Linked DNA regions of Oryctolagus cuniculus. Each later gene encodes a partner of the first gene's protein in a complex. Links are inferred from orthologs where the notes say so. Each region holds a gene or a part of one and is shown on either strand. Other genes may lie near its edges.

The links. The genes of interacting proteins can lie anywhere in the genome.
Region 2: the proteins of FLT3 (region 1) and FLT3LG are in contact, whole or in part, in a crystal structure (PDB 7QDP), measured with the Homo sapiens proteins. The link is inferred for Oryctolagus cuniculus from reciprocal best matches to the Homo sapiens genes FLT3 and FLT3LG. Residues at the interface, in NP_004110.2 of Homo sapiens: Asp180, His279, Gly280, Phe281, Gly282, Met300, Ser301, Thr302, Tyr303, Asn306, Arg307, Met309, Arg311, Ser333; in NP_001191431.1 of Homo sapiens: His34, Ser35, Pro36, Ile37, Ser38, Ser39, Asp40, Lys44, Lys87, Glu99, Asn102, Thr103, Glu104, His106, Phe107.

The regions. Positions count from the first base shown.
Region 1 is NC_091440.1:86,511,360-86,515,810, reverse strand, and holds the end of FLT3 (receptor-type tyrosine-protein kinase FLT3), read right to left. Parts: intron 2,061-4,451; coding exon 1,938-2,060; 3' UTR 1,486-1,937; downstream 1-1,485. UniProt on the Homo sapiens protein: Tyrosine-protein kinase that acts as a cell-surface receptor for the cytokine FLT3LG and regulates differentiation, proliferation and survival of hematopoietic progenitor cells and of dendritic cells.
Region 2 is NC_091449.1:7,942,972-7,947,556, reverse strand, and holds part of FLT3LG (fms-related tyrosine kinase 3 ligand), read left to right. Parts: intron 1-1,519; coding exon of another isoform or gene 1,520-1,608; exon of another isoform or gene 1,609-2,598; intron 2,599-2,774; coding exon 2,775-2,944; intron 2,945-4,372; coding exon 4,373-4,489; 3' UTR 4,490-4,585. UniProt on the Homo sapiens protein: Stimulates the proliferation of early hematopoietic cells by activating FLT3. Synergizes well with a number of other colony stimulating factors and interleukins. Required for the development of B cells, and dendritic cells (DCs).

The DNA.
Region 1 (4,451 bases):
CCTTTGATACCAGCATCCCTACCCAAGTGCCAGTTCAAGTCCTGGCTGCTTGGCTTTGGCTCCAGCTCCCTGGTGATGTGCCTGAGAAAGCAGTGGAACATGGCCCAAGTGCTTGAGCCCCTGCACCCACATGGGTGTCTGGGATGAAGCTCCTGGCTTTGGCCTGGCCAGCTCTGGCTTTTATGGCCATTTAGGGAGTGAACCAGCAGATGGAAGATTTCTCTCTCTCTCTCTCTCTCTCTCTCTCTCTCTCTCTCTCTCCCCCTTCCCCCCCATCACTCTGCCTAATAAGTAAACCTTTTTTTAAAAAAGAAATAAAATAAAACCAGAAGGGAAAATGCATATAATAATATTAGGTCATATCTATATGCCAGGCATTGATCTCAATGACTTACATATTTAGGTTCTATATGTATAAGTGCATTGTATATTTAATTATCTAATTCTCTGAGCAACCCTATGAGAGAGAGGTCCTTATGCCTCTAATTGCTCAGGAAAGGACACTGAAGCTGAAATGGTTGCGCTACTCATGGATCTGGGGGCTGGGAAGTTCAAGGCCAAGGGGCTGTGTCTGGTGAGGGCCTTCCCGCTGTGTGATGACCCATGGAAGGTATCACAAGGTTCGAGGGAGAATAAGACAGCAGAAGGGGGCCAAACTCCTATAACAGACCCATTCCTGTGACGAGGGACCTGCGATAACAACAGGATGTGTCCCGAAGGGCGGCGCCCTCATGTGGTCTGGTCACCTCTCAGAGCTGATTCAGTTTACAAGGGAACTTTCGGGGGCACTTTTTTTTTTTTAAGATTTATTTTATTTATTTGAAAGGTAGAGTGACAGAGAGAAGACAGAAAGTGAGAGAGAAGAAAGAGGTATGTTCTATCCTCTGGTTCATTTCCCAATGGCCTCCTCGGCTGGGGCCAGGGCCAGGGCTGGGCCAGACCAAAGCCAGGAGCCAGGAGCTCCATCCAGGTCTCCCACATGGATGGGTGGCAGGGGCCCAAGTACCTGAGCCATCTTCTGCTTTCCCAGGTGCATTGGTAGGGAGCTGGATCAGAAGCAAAGCAACCAGAACTTGAACTGGCGCCTGGATACGGGATGCTGGCATTAGAAGCAGAGTGCACCACAGCACTGCCCCCTGGGGACACGTTCTGGCCGCAGCGTTGGCCTAGGTCACAAAGCTGAGAAAGGCTGGGGAGTGAACCCCAGTCCTGACAAACGCCCCCAGAGCCCTCCTCTGTAACCTACACTCGGCAGGCAGTCAAAGGCAAAGAAAAGGCTCCTGGCCCCTCAGGGCATGAGGACAAGTGCCGTTTCCAGCCTGCGGGATGCAGGGTGCCCAGCTTCAGAGGACAGGGGGACCAAGAGCACACAGTGGAAACAGAGCTACCGCGGATCTAATGCAAGAACGAGCCTTCTCCGTAGGAAAAGCTTGTACATCCAGTTCCTTCCGGCCCGAAATAAACCAAGTTCATAATTCACTAACAAACGTTTTCTACATTAGAAATTTTATTTCCATCCATAAAATATATCACTAAATAGCTGAAAAAGTTACATAGTATTTTAAAACATGGATTTTTTAAAAAATCATATTAGCTTCTCCTTAGCAAAATGCTTTTGGTGGAAGTATTTACAAGAATATAGTATACTCCGGGGATGCGACTTTCACTCAAGCCAGCCAGAGACGGCCTTGGGATGTAGGCAGGTGCTCCGGGAGAGTTAGTTAGCGGCTCTGCCTGCCTCGGGCACCAGATGCTTCGATTTTACAAAAGTCCCTTTGAAAACAAGAGTAAATGCAGAGAGCTTCTAGAGAAAAGTCTGGCAAAGCAGCAGTTGATAATATATTTTTCTTTTAGTGATGAAAGTAACCTTGTCTTGGTCATCTATAGCCTGCATAAGATAGGTGGACAGGGGAAGTCCTTCAGACGAACAGGTTTCTCTATGAGTCTCCAGCGGGAGCCTGTGGCGAGGGTAGCTCTGAACCCATCTCTCTGCCAAAAGATCGCCTGTTTTGGTAGCCGGAAGAACGTTCTGGAGCGTGGCCATCCATGTTCTGGTACATCTGAATATGGGTGAGAGAGAGAAACACTGAGCTCCATCTGACGTAGACACACCTGTATCTGCCTCTCCTGCAAAGGATCCCAACGGAGTGGATAGTTTCATGTGGAGGGGCATCACTCCTCTACGCTTAGGACTTGGAGAGCATTCCAGAGTCATTAACAAAGCCATCTGGGTCCTTTTATCACTGGGGAAATTCAGTCACAATCAAGTATTTTCTTTCGCTATTGCTTCTACTCTTAGGGGAATAAAAAGGCACTCTCGAATTTTGAAAGCCAGGCAGAAAAAACCTCAGAGAGAAAAGACCCCATAAAGAGATGTGTTCGTTGTGCAGCTCATGATGGGAGGGGGGGAGAATGGTTCTCGAATGTTCCCTTGGGAGTTTAGGGGCTTTTCAAATCTTTTAAAAAATAAAACTAGCTTTACTTTTTTCCCCCTAATTATGAAGTTTGCACACACACACATAGATAATTGAAACAATACAGAAAGATACAAAGAACAAGGCTAAAAATGACTGGAATTGCCATTGTGGACAGCTTGCTAAGTGCTCACAATTGTGCATCAGTAGGCTCAGGTTGTGTATTATTTAGAACCTTACTTTTAAATTACCAATTTATTGTTGTTATATTATTCGTATGTTATATGTGCCACACATTGTTATTACCCACTAAGCATGGCCACGTATCATTGGTGGCCCATGGTCGCACAGCACTGATGTCCCATCAATAGCCTTTGGGTAGGTGGATAGGTTGGTATGTAACATGAGCACTGGAAGTGCACACGTGGCTTAAAGGGAGGAAGTGGAATTGCAATGCACATGACCAGGTTGCCTTGCAGGGAGGTTGTAGAAACTCCTCAACTGAAACCGGGTACCTCCACACACACCAACCTACCCGAAGCTGAAAATATTGTTAAGTCCAAAATACATTGATTATACCGCTAACCTACTCAACATCATAGCTTAGCCTCGCCTACCTGAAACATGCTAAGAACACAGGCGATAGCTTACAGCTTAGCAAATCATCTCATACCTCGCCCATTTCATAATAGTGTTAAATATATGTCATGTAATTTACTGAACACTGAATTGAAAATGGAAAACAGAGTGGTTGGATGGATATGTTTTGGGTCATTGTGAAGTCAAAAAAAAAAAAAAAGGTGACCCATCATAAATTGGAGAGCTTACTTATTTCTTCTCTGATGTGTCTGGAAACAGGACTTACCTCAGGGCCTTCCCATGAGGGGTAGCAGAACCTTGCACATCTCTGTGGCTAACAAGCTCCTTAACTGCATACATTTTACTATAAACAAAATCTAGCATCTTTGTCTATATATTTTTAAAATATTTATTTATTTTATTTGAAAGGCAGAGAGAGAGAGAGAGAGAGAGAGCACAAGGTCTCACCCAGTTCAACCCCAAATGTCTGGGATCAGAGAAGTCAGCCCAGGTCTCCTTGTAGGTGGCAGAGACCCACCTTCGCAGCAGAGCCAGAACTCAAAGCCAAGCACAATGATATGGAATGTGGGCATACTGAGTGGCATCCTAACCACTGAGCCAAATGTCCACCCTCTTGCTCTATATTTAAACTTCACAGACTCTCTTCCTCCCTCCACACTTTGCAACTGCTCATTTCTTTCTGTTTGACTGGGCTGTTGCCTACTCCTAATTTTTCTTTCTAGAAAGAAATATCCTTATGAGCCAAAATGTATCCATTTAGAACCTGGTCCTGAGACACAAAGTCAGCTTTGCCTGGCCCCTTTAAGGATGGACATCTACGGACACGTGTGCCCTTGGTAATGACCTATCAAACCTGTTGAATCCAAACATGCATCTCAGGGCTGGTGCTATGGCATAGTGGGTAAAGCCGCCACCTGCAGTGCCGGCATCCCATTATGGGTGCCAGTTCAAGTCCTGGCTGCTCCACTTCCGATCCGGCTACCTGCTAATATGCCTGGGAAAGCAGTAGAAGATGGCCCAAGTCCTTGGGACCCTACACCCACATGGGATACCGGAAGAAGCTCCTGGCTCCCAGCTTCAGATCTGCACAGCGCCAGCTGTTGAGACCAACTGGGGAGTGAGCCAGCAGATGGAAGACCTCTCTCTCTCTCTGCCTTTCCTTCTCTCTCTATGTAACTCTGACTTTCAAATAAATAAATAAACACATCTTAAAACAAACAAACAAAAACAAGCGTCTCCAGCACTGGATTTCCCGCCACCCAATGAATCCTGTAACGCAGCATAACCTGAATCCATGCCTACACTGCCAGGCATCCAGACCACAGTCTAGAGGCTTTTTTTTTTTAAAGATTTATTTATTTATTTGAAAGTCAGAGTTACACAGAGAGAGGAGAGGCAGAAAGAGAGAGAGAGAGAGAGAGAGAGAGAGAGAGAGAG
Region 2 (4,585 bases), on another chromosome or scaffold:
GAGAGACGGGAGACAGAGATGGAGAGAGAGACAGGGAGAGGGCGAGAGAGTCAAGAAGAGACAGGGAGAGAGAGACAGAGAGTGAGGGAGAGAGACACACAGGGAGAGACAGAGACGGAGAGAGACAGGGAGGGAGAGAGAGAGACAGGGAGAGACGGGGGGGGGGAGATGCCCCATCTGCTGGTTCACTCCCCCACCTGCCTGCAGCAGCGGGGGCCGGGCCAGGCTGAAGCCGGGAGCCGGGAGCTTCTTCTGGGCTTCCCGCCTGGGTGGCAGGGGCCCAGCACTTGCACCGCCGTCTGCCGCCTTCCCGGGCGCGTTGACAGGGAGCTGCACTGGGACGCGGAGGAGCCGGGACGGGGACCAGTGCTCTGCTCCGGGGGTGCAGGCGTCCAGCCCAGTGTTGGCGTAACCTGCCACTCCTCCCCTGCGCTTCTACAGCTGGCCAGTCATTGGAGAGAGATAGCGAGAGAGAGAGAGAGAGAGCGCGTGAGAGAGAGAGAGAGAGGGCCCCCAGCTGCTGGCTCAGTCCCCCCGGATTCCCGCCTGGCTGACTCCATGCAGGTCCAGCCAGGGCTCGGACGCAGGCATCTCAGCCGTGGGGCCGCCGTCCGTCTGTAGGAGTTCACGGGGGTGAACTTCCGGGAGCCATCAGAGGATGCCAGACTGCTTCCTGCGCCGTCTCCCCAGCGCTGGACCTTGCTTCGCAGGAACTGGGCTCTGAAACCCAAACCTGGAAGCTGGCCTTGCTCCAGTCCCGGAGCTGCCCAGCCGCCCGGCGCCGCGCGCAGCTGTGGGTGTCCGTGGGTTCCCCCCATCCATCCCACTGGGGGTTGAGAATATTCAGGAAGAAAGAGAATCCCACGTCTGTACCGAACGAACCTCCTTCCTCGTCAGCAGTCCCTAGACAGTGCAGGGCAGCAACGGCTGACACGCATGTGCGTCACACTGAGGGGGATAAGGCATCTAGATGTGACAGGAGGGAGGCTGGCGTGGTGGTGCAGTGGGGAAAGCCGCCGCCTGCAGTGCCAGCATCCCCACATGGGCGCCAGTTCTAGTCCCGGCTGCTCCACTTCCGATCCAGCTCCCTGCTGTGGTCTGGGGAAAGCAGCAGAAGATGGCCCAAGTCTTTGGGCCCCTGCACCCGCGTAGGAGACCCGGAAGAAGCTCCTGGCTCCTGGCTTTGGATCAGCCCAGCTCCGGCTGCTGCAGCTAATTGGGGAGTGAACCAGCAGATGGAAAATCTCACTCTCTCTCTCTGCCTCTCTGTAACTCAGTCTTTCAGAGAAACAAAACTTTTTAAGAAGATTTGTTTATTGAAAGAGTTACATAAAGAGAGGAATAGACACACACACACACACACACACACACACACGGAAAGAGCTTCCATTCACTGGTTCACTCGCCAAATGGCTGCAGTGGCTGGAGCTGGGCTGATCAGGAGCCAGGAGCTTCTTCCAGGTCTCCCATGCGGGTGCAGGGGCCCAAGGACCTGGGCCATCTTCTACTGCTTTCCCAGGCCACGGCAGAGAGCTGGACTGGAAGTGGAGCAGCCAGGACTCGAACTGGCGCCTATATGGGATGCCGGCCCTGCAGGTAGAGGCTTAGCCCCCTACACCACAGCGCTGGCCCCAGTCAACCAAGTTTTATTAACCCGTATTCTATGTCCACGGCACTGGGGACCCAGCGTGGAACATGCAGACTTGGGGCTAACCTGAGCCAGGAAGGAAACCCCACGCAACCAGACGACGGCGCTCCTGAGGGCACCCGGCCCGGCGCTCAGAGTGAAGTGGGCGATGTTGCGTGATCGAGGCTCCATCCGGGCCTCCCGCGTGAGTGGCAGGGACACAAGCCCTTGGGCCCAAGACGCACATTCGCGAGAAGCTGGATCGGAAGCGGAGGGGCCGGGATCGGAGCGGGCTCTCCGACGGGACGCAGTGTCCCCGCGCCACACGCCTGCTCCCGGGCAGCTGGGAGGTTCCGGCGATGCACAGCACAGATAATGTCCCTCCCCCACACGGAGGGAGGAAGACAGAGCTCTGAGACGCAGCTGTTCAATCGTAAAGGAAAACACGGGTGGTCGTGTGGCCTAGTGGTTAAGCACCCAGTTCCCGGGAGGCGGCCATGCTGGTTCAGGAGCTGGGTCCCTGCCACCCACCGGGGGCACCTGGACTGAATCCGGGCTCTCAGCTCAGGCCCTGGCCACTGTGCCCATCAGGGACTGAACCAGCGCATGGGACTCACTCTCTCTGCCTTTCAAATACATTTTTAAAATAAAATTCATCTTGGAGCTGGCACTGTGGCACAGCGGGGTAGGCCATGGCCTGCAGTCCGGCATCCCATATGGGTGCCGGTTCAAGTCCCGGCTGCTCCACCTCTGACCCAGCTCTCTGCTGTGGCCTGGGAGAGCATAGAAGATGGCCCAGGTCCTTGTGCCCCTGCACCCGCGTGGGAGACCCGGAAGAAGCTCCTGGCTCCTGGCTTGTGCCTGGCCTAACCCCAGCCATCGCAGCCATTTAGGGAGCGAGCCAGTGGATGGAAGACCTCTCTTTCTGTAACTCTGCCTGCCAAATAAACCTGTACGATAAACACATACAATTAGACAAAGCTTTCCTGTCTGCCAGGTTCTCTCTGTCCCTGTTTAATTCACGAGGGAAGATGAACGGGCTCCCCGCTTTGCAGATGGGGAAATCAAGGCAGCAGTGCCAGGCAGGCCCCTCCTCCCCTCCGGAGCCCACCCTGCTCCTCGGTCACGCGGCCTCCTCTCTCCTCAGAACCCTCCACGCCCCTGCCCCTGAGGAGTCCCGGGGCCCTGGGGGCTACGGTGCTGCCGGCCCCTGCGCCGCACCTGCTGCTGGTCTTGCTGCTGCTGCCCTCGGCCCTCCTGCTGCTGGTCGCTGCCTGGTGCCTGCGCCGGCGAGGGACGCCCTGCCCCGGGGAGCGGGTGAGCCGGCGCGGGCCCAGACGGACGAGGGGTGGCCCAGGCCCTGCCTGTCCCCAGGGGCCCCCAGGAGGTGTTGCTTGTGGGTCCTGGGAGGCCTGGCTGAGGGCGGCGGGGTCTGCCTAGGGGTCCTGGGAGGCCTGGCTGAGGGCGGCGGGGTCTGCCTAGGGGTCCTGGGAGGCCTGGCTGAGGGCGGCGGGGTCTGGCACGTGTGGTGGAGTAGGGGAGCGAATTGGGAGGGGCAGGGTGGGCGTCTGGCCGGCCTGGAGGTGTAACGGGCACAGGGGGCCCTGGGCCTGGCTCAGTGTCGGGTGCAGCAGCGAGGCCGGGGGACAGGCGCTGAGCTGGGGGGCCCCGGGGTGTGATGGCATCGCAGGCCTCCGCAGGGGGAGGCCGGGCGGGAGGCAGCCGGGGCTTTGCACGAACGGCCTCTGGCCCCTCAGCAAGGCGCTGCCATGGCTGCCCTGCCTTTCAGGGCGCAGAGGCCACTCGGGCTCCAGGGGCCACCCGGCTGCCCGGGGCGCTGGGACTTGGCCCCCTCCAGGCCCTGCCCTCTGCTTCCCGGTTTCCTCTAACGCACCAAAGGCTCTGCGAATAGCCCCCCTGCCCCCCGCCGGGAGTGAGGGGGCCCAGCCGGGCCCTGAGAGCCCTGCTGCCCCTGGGGAACTGACCGCAGCCCACATGCAACTCAGCTAAACCAGTTAATTTTAATAATGTGTGATTACAGCAGTGTAGCTGTCACTTCAACATGCAACCACTTTTATTTTTAAAAAAGATTACTTGAAAGGCTGACAGAGAGAAGACACAGATTTATTTTTTAAAAGATTTATTGAAAAAAAAAAAGGGGGTGCCGGTGCCGCGGCTCACTAGGCTAATCCTCTGCTTGCGGCGCTGGCACCCCGGGTTCTAGTCCCGGTCGGGGCGCCGGATTCTGTCCCGGTTGCCCCTCTTCCAGGCCAGCTCTCTGCTGTGGCCCGGGAGTGCAGTGGAGGATGGCCCAAGTGCTTGGGCCCTGCACCCCATGGGAGACCAGGAGAAGCACCTGGCTCCTGGCTCCTGCCATCAGATCAGCGCTGTGCGCCGGCCGTGGTGGCCATTTTGGGGTGAAGCAACGGAAGGAAGACCTTTCTCTCTGTCTCTCACTGTCTGTAACTCCAGACCACAGCAGAGCTGGACCGGAAGTGGAGCAGCCGAGATTCGAACCGGCGCCCACCTGGGATGCCAGCGCTTCAGGTGGCAGCTTTACCCACTACGCCACAGCGCCGGCCATGGGATATTTAATCTAACTTAATTTTTAAAAATTACAACTTATTTCGGGAAAAGTAACACATCGAGCCCCCCCCCTTCCCGCCACGCGCAGCGCCCTGGGCCCGGCCCTCCCGCGGCGCGCGCGGCGGACAGACAGACGGACACGCCGTCCCCGTTCCACAGGCCAGGACGCTGAGGAGCCGCGGGGCCGAGGACGCGCGGCCGGGACCGGAGGCGGAGCCCCTCGCGCTGCCCTCGGGACGGAGGCCGCGCCCGGCGCCCGCGGGAGGCTGCGCCTGAGCCCCGGGCCGCGGGGCGCCCGCCCACGGAGCGCGGGGCTCTAAGCCTGCAGGGAGCGCCGGGGTCCCACAGCGCGGGCCTGGCGGGCGGGCCGCC